2 linked regions of the Arabidopsis thaliana genome follow. The protein of the gene in region 1 interacts with the protein of each later gene in a pairwise test. Each region holds a gene or a part of one and is shown on either strand. Other genes may lie near its edges.

Region 1 (4,477 bases):
TTAGTCTATTAAAAATATATTTCTTTGTACAAAAAATGTTTATAAATTTGATGTACAAAGAGAATAATCAAAAATTTAAAAACAAAAGAAATGAAAAAAATATACAAAATATAGTGAATACATGGACAATAAAGAAAAACTCTCATAAAACTAATATACAGATTATATCATGCGCTTGGCTTTGATTCTAGTTTGTTAAGGTGAAAATTTCTCAAGTATAAGAAATTCATATCGATCATGATAGATTCCATCTTTTCAAAATGCTTTCTTTATCTAAAAAATCATTCACTCTAACACATAAAGGCCAAACACTTACAGACCTATGTTGTAGGATATGGGGTCAACTGACACCAGTTAAAATTCATATTTAATTATATGAACAATAATTTGTAGTTCATTTTTGTTAGAGCAATTAAGTTTGAACCCATTATTCAATTGTCAACACCAATAATGTTTGAGTGTTGTGGATTTTTCTCTAACTTGTTTGAACACTTCTTATTGTTATTGGGCCACAGCTCAATCTATTAACATATAGAAACTGTCCTTTTTATAATAACTAAGGGCTTGATTGGTTCTCCCTCTGCCACCCGCAAACGCAGCGTTTGCGGGTGGTAGCGGTTGTTAGCGATTGGCACCAATCATAAAAACCGCTAGATACCGCTTTGGACCGCTCGAAATCGTCAGATCTCAAAAGCTCCTTCCCGCAAGCGTTTGCGGTTGCGGGCGGTAGCGGTTAAGTTACAACAAAAATTTATTTTTTATAATTAATTAAAATAATTATATCTTCCACCCAAACCCTATATATCTTATTCTTGTTAGAAAACCCTAATCAATATATTGTAACTCTATTCTCTCAATTATGGCATCCACCCAAACGGATGAAAATTAAAATCAAAATCAAGAATCAAACGTAAGTATGATCTATCCGTTCATCCATTCACGACCAGTTTGGAAAAAAATTTAGTTGGAGATGTGTTAAAAATCGTTTGGATATCTTGAAGAAACTTTATTATATAGAGGCAATCCGGAAAACCCGCGAGTTCAACGTTATTTACAGTTTATCACACTATTTGATGCAATTTTTGGTAATGTACCAAATGCATAAAGTATTAAACTTTTTCTTACAAAATTTATTTATTTTTGAATTTAATGTTTTATTTATGGTTTTAATTATTAATTATGTTTAATTTTTCTAATATTATGAATTTATCATAATAATATATTGTATTTTTTCTTTCTTTTAATAGTAATATATTATATTTATTTTGGTTTATTTTTGTTTAATTACTATCACACCCGCTGGTTTACCAGTCATAAAACTCCCGCAAACGCACCCATTATCAAACGTTCAACCAGTCGTTCAAAACGCTTGATAACGCTTGAAACCGCAACTGCCCGTTTTCGCAAACTCCCGCAACCGCAACTGCACCCGCTGCGTTTAAACCAGTCAGGCCCTAAAACCCTACTTTATACTTTTTTTTTTGTCATCAAAAATCCTACTTTATACGTAAAATAAATCTTTAGATTATAAATAGTTAGTGTGGAAAATATATTTTGATATATTTGTTTTTAATATGTGTTAATGGCAACAAATTAACTAAAATTCTTGGGTGTCCAAGAAGGCTCCTTGCATGAGTTGCATACTAGCATTGATAAGATATGACATCAATGCTTTGATGATGATGATTTATTGGATAAGACCATCAGAGATTGTTTTGAGGGTTTGGGTCGTCTTCATGTGCCAATATGACTTTTTTTTTTAAATGTGATTCCTCATATTGATTCTTGAACCGTGTATATAAAAAAGTGTATATGATTCATTTTACAGGATGAATTTTCGGATCAAGAGCAGTGGATATATGATGATGAGGATTAAACTAACTTGACAAATGCGTGGAGAGGTGATTATTAGAAGTTTCGGATCAAGAGCAGTGGATAATTTTCATTTGAGAAGGAGATTTTAATTCATCCTATTTTCTGGAAACAAAAATATTAAGTAAATAAATAAATATCATAATCATCTTTTTAAATAATAAAGTCCTCCAAATTTTGTTAATTACTAGAATTGTTTCTCCATAGGGTTAGGGTTACGTTTCTCCGATTTTATTCCTTGAGACTGAATACTATACGATTGCGAATTGATCAGTGTTGTCTATCGATTCATTTTTCTTCAGAATTGGATTATCATGAAACGCTCGATCAGCCCCGACCCTTTTTCCTCAACGAAGTCGCCGAAACTCGTTCACCACTCACCGGATGATGGAGGAGCAGAGGGCAATCCTTATCGTCTTCCTTTTACCTTAAGCGATGAAAACCTCTCATGCCTTCCTATCTCCCAGGCGAGGGAGCCTCCTCCTATCTTTAACTTGGATCCCAATTCTGTCAAAGGTACGTTGGGATGTTTTTTTTTTTGTGTTCTCGTTGATTGATCTTCTAAATCTCATGTTTTGATATCATCCAAATTAGATACACAAGACAGAAACAAACTATACTTAGCAAAAGCTTGGGACTTGCTAAAGCCAGCGATCAAAATCATCTTAGATGATGATGAATACAAAAAGCCTGGCGACGTTCTCTGTTTCACTACGATTTTTAGAGCTGTTAAGCGTGCTTGCTTAGGCGATCCTCGACAATCAGAACTGGTTTTCAATCTTGTCAAGCATGAGTGTGAGCCTCACATTGCTGAGCTTATACAGTCTTTAGAAAAGAATTGCAGTGGCAGTGATGATCCCTCTGTGTTCTTGCCACACGTGTACAATCGCTGGCTAGACTTTAAAAGGAAGATGAGTCTTGTGTCTGACGTAGCCATGTATCAGACTCTTAATGGCTTGACATTGTGGGACGTGGGCCAGAAGCTTTTCCATAAACAACTCTCCATGGCCCCTCAACTTCAAGATCAAGTTATTACCGGCATATTAAGACTCATCACTGATGAAAGGTTAGTATGTAAGTAAGAGGAGTCTCATCTTTCTTTAACCGTTCCAGTCTCGATCTACTCACTCTTTCCCTTGCATTTTGTGTTAATGTTTGTCTACCAGATTAGGCAAGGCTGCGAACAACACGAGTGATCTCCTAAAGAATCTTATGGACATGTTCCGCATGCAGTGGCAGTGTACATATGTGTATAAGGACCCTTTTCTTGATTCCACTTCTAAGTTTTACGCCGAGGAAGCAGAGCAAGTCCTGCAGCGATCCGACATTTCCCACTACTTGAAATATGTCGAGGTACATACATCTCAAGACCTCAACTTAGCGTTATCATTTTGTTTTTTTAGCCTTTCCTTCCTAAACCCTGAAAATGAAAGCTATTCTTCCCTGTGATTGTTTGTTGCAGAGGACTTTCCTTGCGGAAGAGGAAAAATGCGATAAGCATTATTTCTTCTTTTCATCTTCCCGGTCTCGACTAATGAAAGTCTTAAAGAGTCAGCTCCTGGAGGCGCACTCTTCTTTTCTTGAAGAGGGTTTTATGCTATTAATGGATGAGAGTCTCATCGATGACCTTAGAAGAATGTATCGTTTGTTCTCTATGGTAGATTCGGAGGATTATATAGACCGCATTCTGAGAGCCTACATTTTGGCAAAAGGAGAGGGAGCTAGGCAAGAAGGCTCCTTGCAGGAGTTGCATACTAGCATCGATAAGATATGGCATCAATGCTTTGGTCAGGACGATTTGTTGGATAAGACCATCAGAGACTGTTTTGAGGGTTTTGGTCTTCATGTGCCGGTATGACTTTTTGTTTATTTGATCTCCCCTTATTGATTCTTGAACTGTGTATATAAAAAAAGTATATGTGATTCTTTTTACAGGGTGAATTTTCGGATCAACTGCAGTGGATAGATGATGATGATGATGAGGATTAAACTAAATAGAAGTTGTAATTGTTAGTCTGGTCGTGTGTTGCGTTTCTGTATTGATCTCTTGTAAGACTTTTCAACTAGCATACTAAAGAATATAAGTAATATATTATCAATTAGCTTTTGACCAGTTGGGAAATGGAGTTTCGTTACCATATCAGAAATTGGATAATACTCAACTGAATAGTGAATTGAAAGCTTATACATAAACTTTTGTTAATAGTTTGGGAAGTATATTGCTGGCACTGTAACCAAAGTGGGACGTTTTCACTCATACTTAAGCGATGGGATGTTATGCGTAGCTACATAATGGTATTGAGGAGAATTAGCGTTAATTGCTTTTGCATTGGTTAATTGCTTTTGTTATGTGTTGCTCAGATTTTGGATTGTTTTGGATTACTCTGTTTGTTGATTTTAAGTTGAGATCGAAAAAATATAAAATAATAACTTTTATGCGAATAATTGTTAAATTCTGTAATTAGCTCAAACAAATATACATTTCAACAACCAAAGATTTTTTTTTTTTAAATCCTAAATTAGCTGAAAATAATAACTAACTTAATCAACTCAAGATAATCTACATGTTAAATGCGGCTATATTTTAATTTTTTTAATCTAACTA
Region 2 (5,773 bases), on another chromosome or scaffold:
GCCCTTTGAGCAACAACGCAGGAGAGACCTCTGATGTAGCTTCAAAGATGGAACATTCAGATGCTAGGTATTCTGTTACTAGTGATTTCTTTTCCCAAACTATTTATACCATACTTACCAACTGATCATGCTTGCTTGCAGAAGTACCGACTTCTATGGACACTCTATGGGCTCAAGTAATAGCCACAATGCCTTATCACTTGGTGGCCCAAGCAGTTCCATGCCAGAGGTAAATAATCCTTTCTCTTTAAGAAGCACGAGACTGTAATATTTCATCCTCCTAGCTTGTATTTTGTAACAAGGAAGTAGTAGTAAACCGGGTCATGGATACTTTCTTGTTTACATGAAGTACTCTGCTGCCTTTTCCATATGAGTCTTGTGTTCTTCACATTTGGAAGTTGATTTCTTGGTCTATTCTTATGTCTTTTTACTTCTTTTTTCCAGGATGGCTAGTGAAGAAGATTTGAATTTTACAGGAGAGATAAAGAAAGAAAGAGAACTAACCCTTTTTACCCCATTTGTATCACAAAAGGGAAGAAACATGTGTTACCTTTAACTCTTGTCTTTATCTTTCCTCGGTGTGGGCTTTTTTGGCTGAGACCCGTAGGATATTCATTTTAGGCACAATTTGAATGAAGGGAATGATCAAACTCTCTATGAATCTATTTGAATTTATTGTTTGTCTATTGACCAATTTATACCAACAACAAATATAAGCTAAGAACTGTTGGAATAACAATATAGACAAAAAATTTGATTGTGGGCTCAAATTTTCATATACGAGGAGATGAGTGACAACAAACCCTATATATTTTACAAATAAAGAGCCTAATGCATCAAAGACATTACATGTTTTCCACCCAAATTTACACATCTCTTATTCCTTTCAAGTAAACAAAATCATCAATGAGGAAGATGATGCTCTCTAATGGAGAAAATATCAGCCAACACTTTCTGAGAGATAAAGCAAGTCCCTATAGCTAACATCATCTGCCTTGTGCTTCTTTCTCTTTGTTTTGTTTGCCTCCTAACTTGTCAAGTGTGTTCTCGTGGACGAGCTGCCCAGAGAGAACTAAGAGCACGCAGCCTGTGGAAGTATTCTCCTAGAGCGAGCAACCCTCGAGCAGCCTGTCTTGTCGTCAATATCTTACTCATTTGCTGCAGGGTCTGTTGTCTCAGATGATCCGCCTGTTCCAATATTGTCAGAGATTTTGTTTGTGAAATCCATGCTCACAAAGTTTCTAATCAAAAATGAAAATAAACTTTGGATTCATGGAGACTGCAAAAGCACAAAGCAAATACACTTAGCGTTACCTGGTTCACAAAACTCTCCAATGCTTGAAGATTCTCCATGGCTGAAGCCATTGGAGCCCCGTGATTCACAGACTCAACAACTTTTATCTGAATTGCTATGCTTTCGACCAAACCCTGCTGAAGTTTATCTAAGCCTTGAGAGAGAGCCTCCTCTGCTTGCTGAGACGACTGTTGCAGGTTACGCACCTCCAACAGTTGCTGATCGGTTAAGGGCTCAACGTATGGCATCACAACCTAGACAACAAAAAAGGTTGAGCATTTTTTCTCAAGAGTAGAAAGAGAAACGTGTAAAAGTAAAAAAGAAGTTTACATTTAAAAGCTCGGATGGGCGGAAACCTCCAATCCATTGGAAGAAGCGTTCAGTTGAAGTTCGCCACATTCCCGACATCAAGAAGAACACATCAGCCTTTGCAGCATCAGCTTTCATGCGGAAGAGATTTGCGTAGTGGTTCAAGCAACTATCTACCAACATTTTGAGCTCAATGTCACCTATATGAGCTTGGAGCGCTGTTCGAATCTCACTAACTCTCCTGTTTTGCTCTTCTAGCCAGTGTGTGTATTCCATCTCAAATGCAGCAATACCTGAAAATGGTTATTATTGGGAAAATTACTTCTTTATCTACTGAGGATTAAGAGATAAAGCAATGCTAACATATGCTTATTTAGTGATATAAACACCAACCTGAGTTCATATTCCCAGCTGGTCCTAGATAACTAGTATCTGAAGAATTGCGTACGCATAATCCCTAATACAAACCAGAAGAATCACTGAGTCAGAATGAATCAGATAAAGTTTGATGAACACACAACAAATAAACAAGCTTGAGCTAACCTGCTGCCTAGCTCTTACAAGTTCCTGCTCGAGCTGTGACAACTTCAACCGGCTTTCTTCTAACTGTTGAACATGGGCCTACAAGCACAGACACAACTTTGCATAAGCTTTCCTTTTTATCATTAACACAAGAAAAAATCCCACCAAGGTTACCTTCTTTCTCAAACGACTTTTGCGAGCAGCTTCTCGGTTCTGAGCCAAACGCCGTTTCATCTGTTCATAGAGAAGGAACAACAATTCATGTCATCACGCCGTGTCTCTTCCTCTAAAGATTAAAATGGAGAAGGAGGAGTTTATGAAGTCTTCGAAGCAAAAGGTATAAGTAGCCTTAAAATGCTAAAGCCTTACCTTATCATTGATCCGGTCTTCGTCCTGATCATTATTACTCGACGGTTCTGCTTCAAGAGAGTTATTATACACAGAAGTATAATTCACCTGCAACATAATTAACCATCAATCACCAAACAAACAACACTTATAAATCATTCTAAAGCATGATCCAGGAATAAACAATAACTCACTCTATTGTTATCATCTGCTTCTGGTCTAGCATCAACCTCAAGTGTTGTTGAAGAACTCTGATTGTTATTCTGATTACTAGTAATATTGTTGATATCTGATTTGAAAGGACTCTCCCAACCAGATAACTGTTGAAATGGTTCATACATCCCCATGTCTCTGAATGATACAACTTGAGTAGTAGAAGAAGAAGAGCTCATCATCTGTAAATCAACAATTTACAGACTCAAGCTTATTGAATTCAAGAAACAGATTCTCTAGCTCAGCTTTCAATAGATATATAGATCCAGTCCATATCTCTAAAATTGCATTGCTTACTAACACACACAATAAACAAGTAGTTATAGTTTCAGTTTTAGCAATAAAGGTTGAAACTTTAGAAAACCCAGCTCTCCAAAACAGAGCCTTTTGAAGAAACATAGCCAAATAGAGTAATACCCATGAAACTAGAAAGTTGCAACAACTAAAAACCAAAATTGGAAAATTTAAGGACTTCACAAAGCAAGAAAAGATAACATGAGAAACAAAAACCAACCTCCATTGATAAGCAGAGAAGAAATTCATGAGGAGCTCGAGAGATGAAGAATGAATCTTGGCATTCTAAAAGGAATATTCCGATCAAACGGTGACCACAAGAGAGAAGAGAGAAATGAAGAAAAACTTTGGTCAAAACTTAGAGGTGAAGCGTACCCATCATTGAAAAAAAAAAGCAGAGATATTTATTTTTTTATACATATATTTTGTGTTGTTGCTTTTTTTTTTTTCCTCATGGCTTTGATTAGTCCATGAGCGTAGAATAATAAGCAAGTTGAAGTAAACGAACGATGAAACGACAAAAGCATCACCACCGGGAGAAAAACAAATCGAGAGAGATGATAAAAAAGGTTGAGTCTTTTCCTCTATTCCAAAAGTTGACCTTATCGTGCGCCTCTGTTTCTAAACTACACCTTTTGATGACCTGGATTCTTCATCGTCGGCCGACACGTCAGATGCTTGAGGGGAATATTCCGGTAATTTTTATTTTTTAACATAGAGAATCTGAATCTCATATATATAAGATGTGATTTGTTTATGATTTTGTTAGAAAAAAACATACAATATCATATATCAAAACTTAATAGTCGACTTATGATTCACATTATAAAAAGTTGATATATAATATATATATATATATATAGTTTTTAAATTAAAATAGTTATAGTAATGATTTGATCTGAAAATGGATAATTGATATTTGTACCACGAGATTACTACCGATTGGTTAAATATATTTTTTAGTAACGATTTTAAATATAGCTGATAATTTATTTGTATAAATATTTGAATAACTGTGAATTATTTGTTATTCAGAAATTGAATAAACTTTTCCAAGAAATTAGGTCGCATTTTGTGGGACAAGAGTGGAAGATTAATACTTTTAATCAATTTATTAATTTTTATTCGCTTTATTTGGAGGGTCTCAGTGCTATGCAGTGGCATCTTTTAACTTAAGTACTCCTCCTTAGCTTAGTGAGTAATAATTGGGCCTCTAGTGACCTACCCAACTCTAAGAAAATGATTAATTTTGTTATCTTTTTCTTCTTTTGCCTAATACAATATTGATTCTTTAGTTAGTTTGGTGCCACTTGTCTGATAAAATCTGCGTTTCGACAGAGACAAATACGTAAAATAAGTGGGGCTTTTGGTTTGGCTTTAATAAAGATTTCATATACTATAGTTTTCAATCTTTATAAATATGATTCAAAACGTATTGATCAATGACATGCAAAAGGATAAATACCGAAACTAAAATGAATCATTTTGATTTTCTTAAATCTATTAAGTTTTTGTCTTTTTGACGCAACAGCGCAGAAAGGCCTAAAGAGGAAAAGTTGGGCTTAGAGTAAAGCCCATAAAATTTGTCGAATATTCAACACATGGCAAGTGCACGTGAGAAAAAATCTACAGAAGTCTCTGTGCCGCTTTTTAAGGCTTCTCGCCTTGTACAACTTTTTTTTTTTAAAAATGCGCAAGTTTCTTTTCTGTAACGTCACATATTATTTTCGTTAACCCTAATAATTTTGGTGTTTTCTTTATTTTGTTATATAACATGTATAGATTTTAGACCTAAACTTTACCACTTAAAAGAGTGTCTACAATGATAAAAATAATAGATCATAATAAGTTATTTAACTTTAATAATCTAGATGATAGAATTCAATCTTAAGTCTAAAATTTCGTAATAAACCTTTAAATTTTAATACACGATATATTATAATATATTATTATATATTATAATATATTATTATATATACACCCAAAACCGGCTCAATAGAACTGGAATTTTGGTACAAATTTTAAAAATTAGTCTTTTTCAGTATTAATTTTGTTTATACACAATCATTTACTTACATATATATAAACAATAAAATAATATATATATATATATATATATATATATTTATATAAGATAAAAGGATATATAAAAATTTAGACCCTTTAACAACATAATTACAAAAAAATAAGAGTATTTAGGATAAATTGTTTTTTATTAACTTTTTAGCAAGGAAAAACAATTCAATAATTTATATTCTTCATGCATCATATATTTTATGATCGACTGAACAATATCACCATCAACCACTACATGGTTGCAACCAAAGAGGGAGCAACCATGTAGCATTCGACTACCAACAAACAATATCACCATCAACCACCACTACATGGTTGGAACCAAAGAAGGAGTAACCATGTAGCAAACCAACAGTATCACTATCAATCACTACATGGTTGCAACCAAAAAAATAATAACCATATAACATTCGACTACCAACCAACCAACAATATCACCATTAATCATTACATGGTTGCAACAAAAAAAAAGAACAACCATGTAGTATTTTGCCATCAAATAAAAAGACTTTTCACGAATTGTTAATAAAATATATTATATTTATTTTAGACTTGCAAAAGATATCAGTCACTAATTGAAAATAATCATTTTCGCATACAAGAATGTCATTCTTCTTACTTCTTTGCATGCATCAACTTGTCAACTTCATTCAACTATATCCTAAATTGTTTGAATCTACAAAATATATTTTCAATTATTAAAAATAATTAAAATTA

What was found.
Region 2: the proteins of AT4G12100 (region 1) and TGA3 interact in binary tests that used the Arabidopsis thaliana proteins (3 or more experiments, as listed by UniProt).

The regions. Positions count from the first base shown.
Region 1 is NC_003075.7:7,245,837-7,250,313, reverse strand, and holds AT4G12100 (Cullin family protein), read left to right. Parts: upstream 1-2,186; coding exon 2,187-2,388; intron 2,389-2,466; coding exon 2,467-2,938; intron 2,939-3,038; coding exon 3,039-3,225; intron 3,226-3,334; coding exon 3,335-3,724; intron 3,725-3,807; coding exon 3,808-3,861; 3' UTR 3,862-3,976; downstream 3,977-4,477.
Region 2 is NC_003070.9:7,787,084-7,792,856, reverse strand, and holds TGA3 (transcription factor TGA3), read right to left. Parts: upstream 3,725-5,773; 5' UTR 3,207-3,724; coding exon 3,201-3,206; intron 2,869-3,200; coding exon 2,668-2,868; intron 2,582-2,667; coding exon 2,495-2,581; intron 2,360-2,494; coding exon 2,300-2,359; intron 2,225-2,299; coding exon 2,147-2,224; intron 2,061-2,146; coding exon 1,997-2,060; intron 1,897-1,996; coding exon 1,625-1,896; intron 1,549-1,624; coding exon 1,315-1,548; intron 1,189-1,314; coding exon 1,036-1,188; 3' UTR 718-1,035; downstream 1-717. Other genes in the region: AT1G22080 (Cysteine proteinases superfamily protein), read left to right, coding at 1-67, 142-229, 445-453.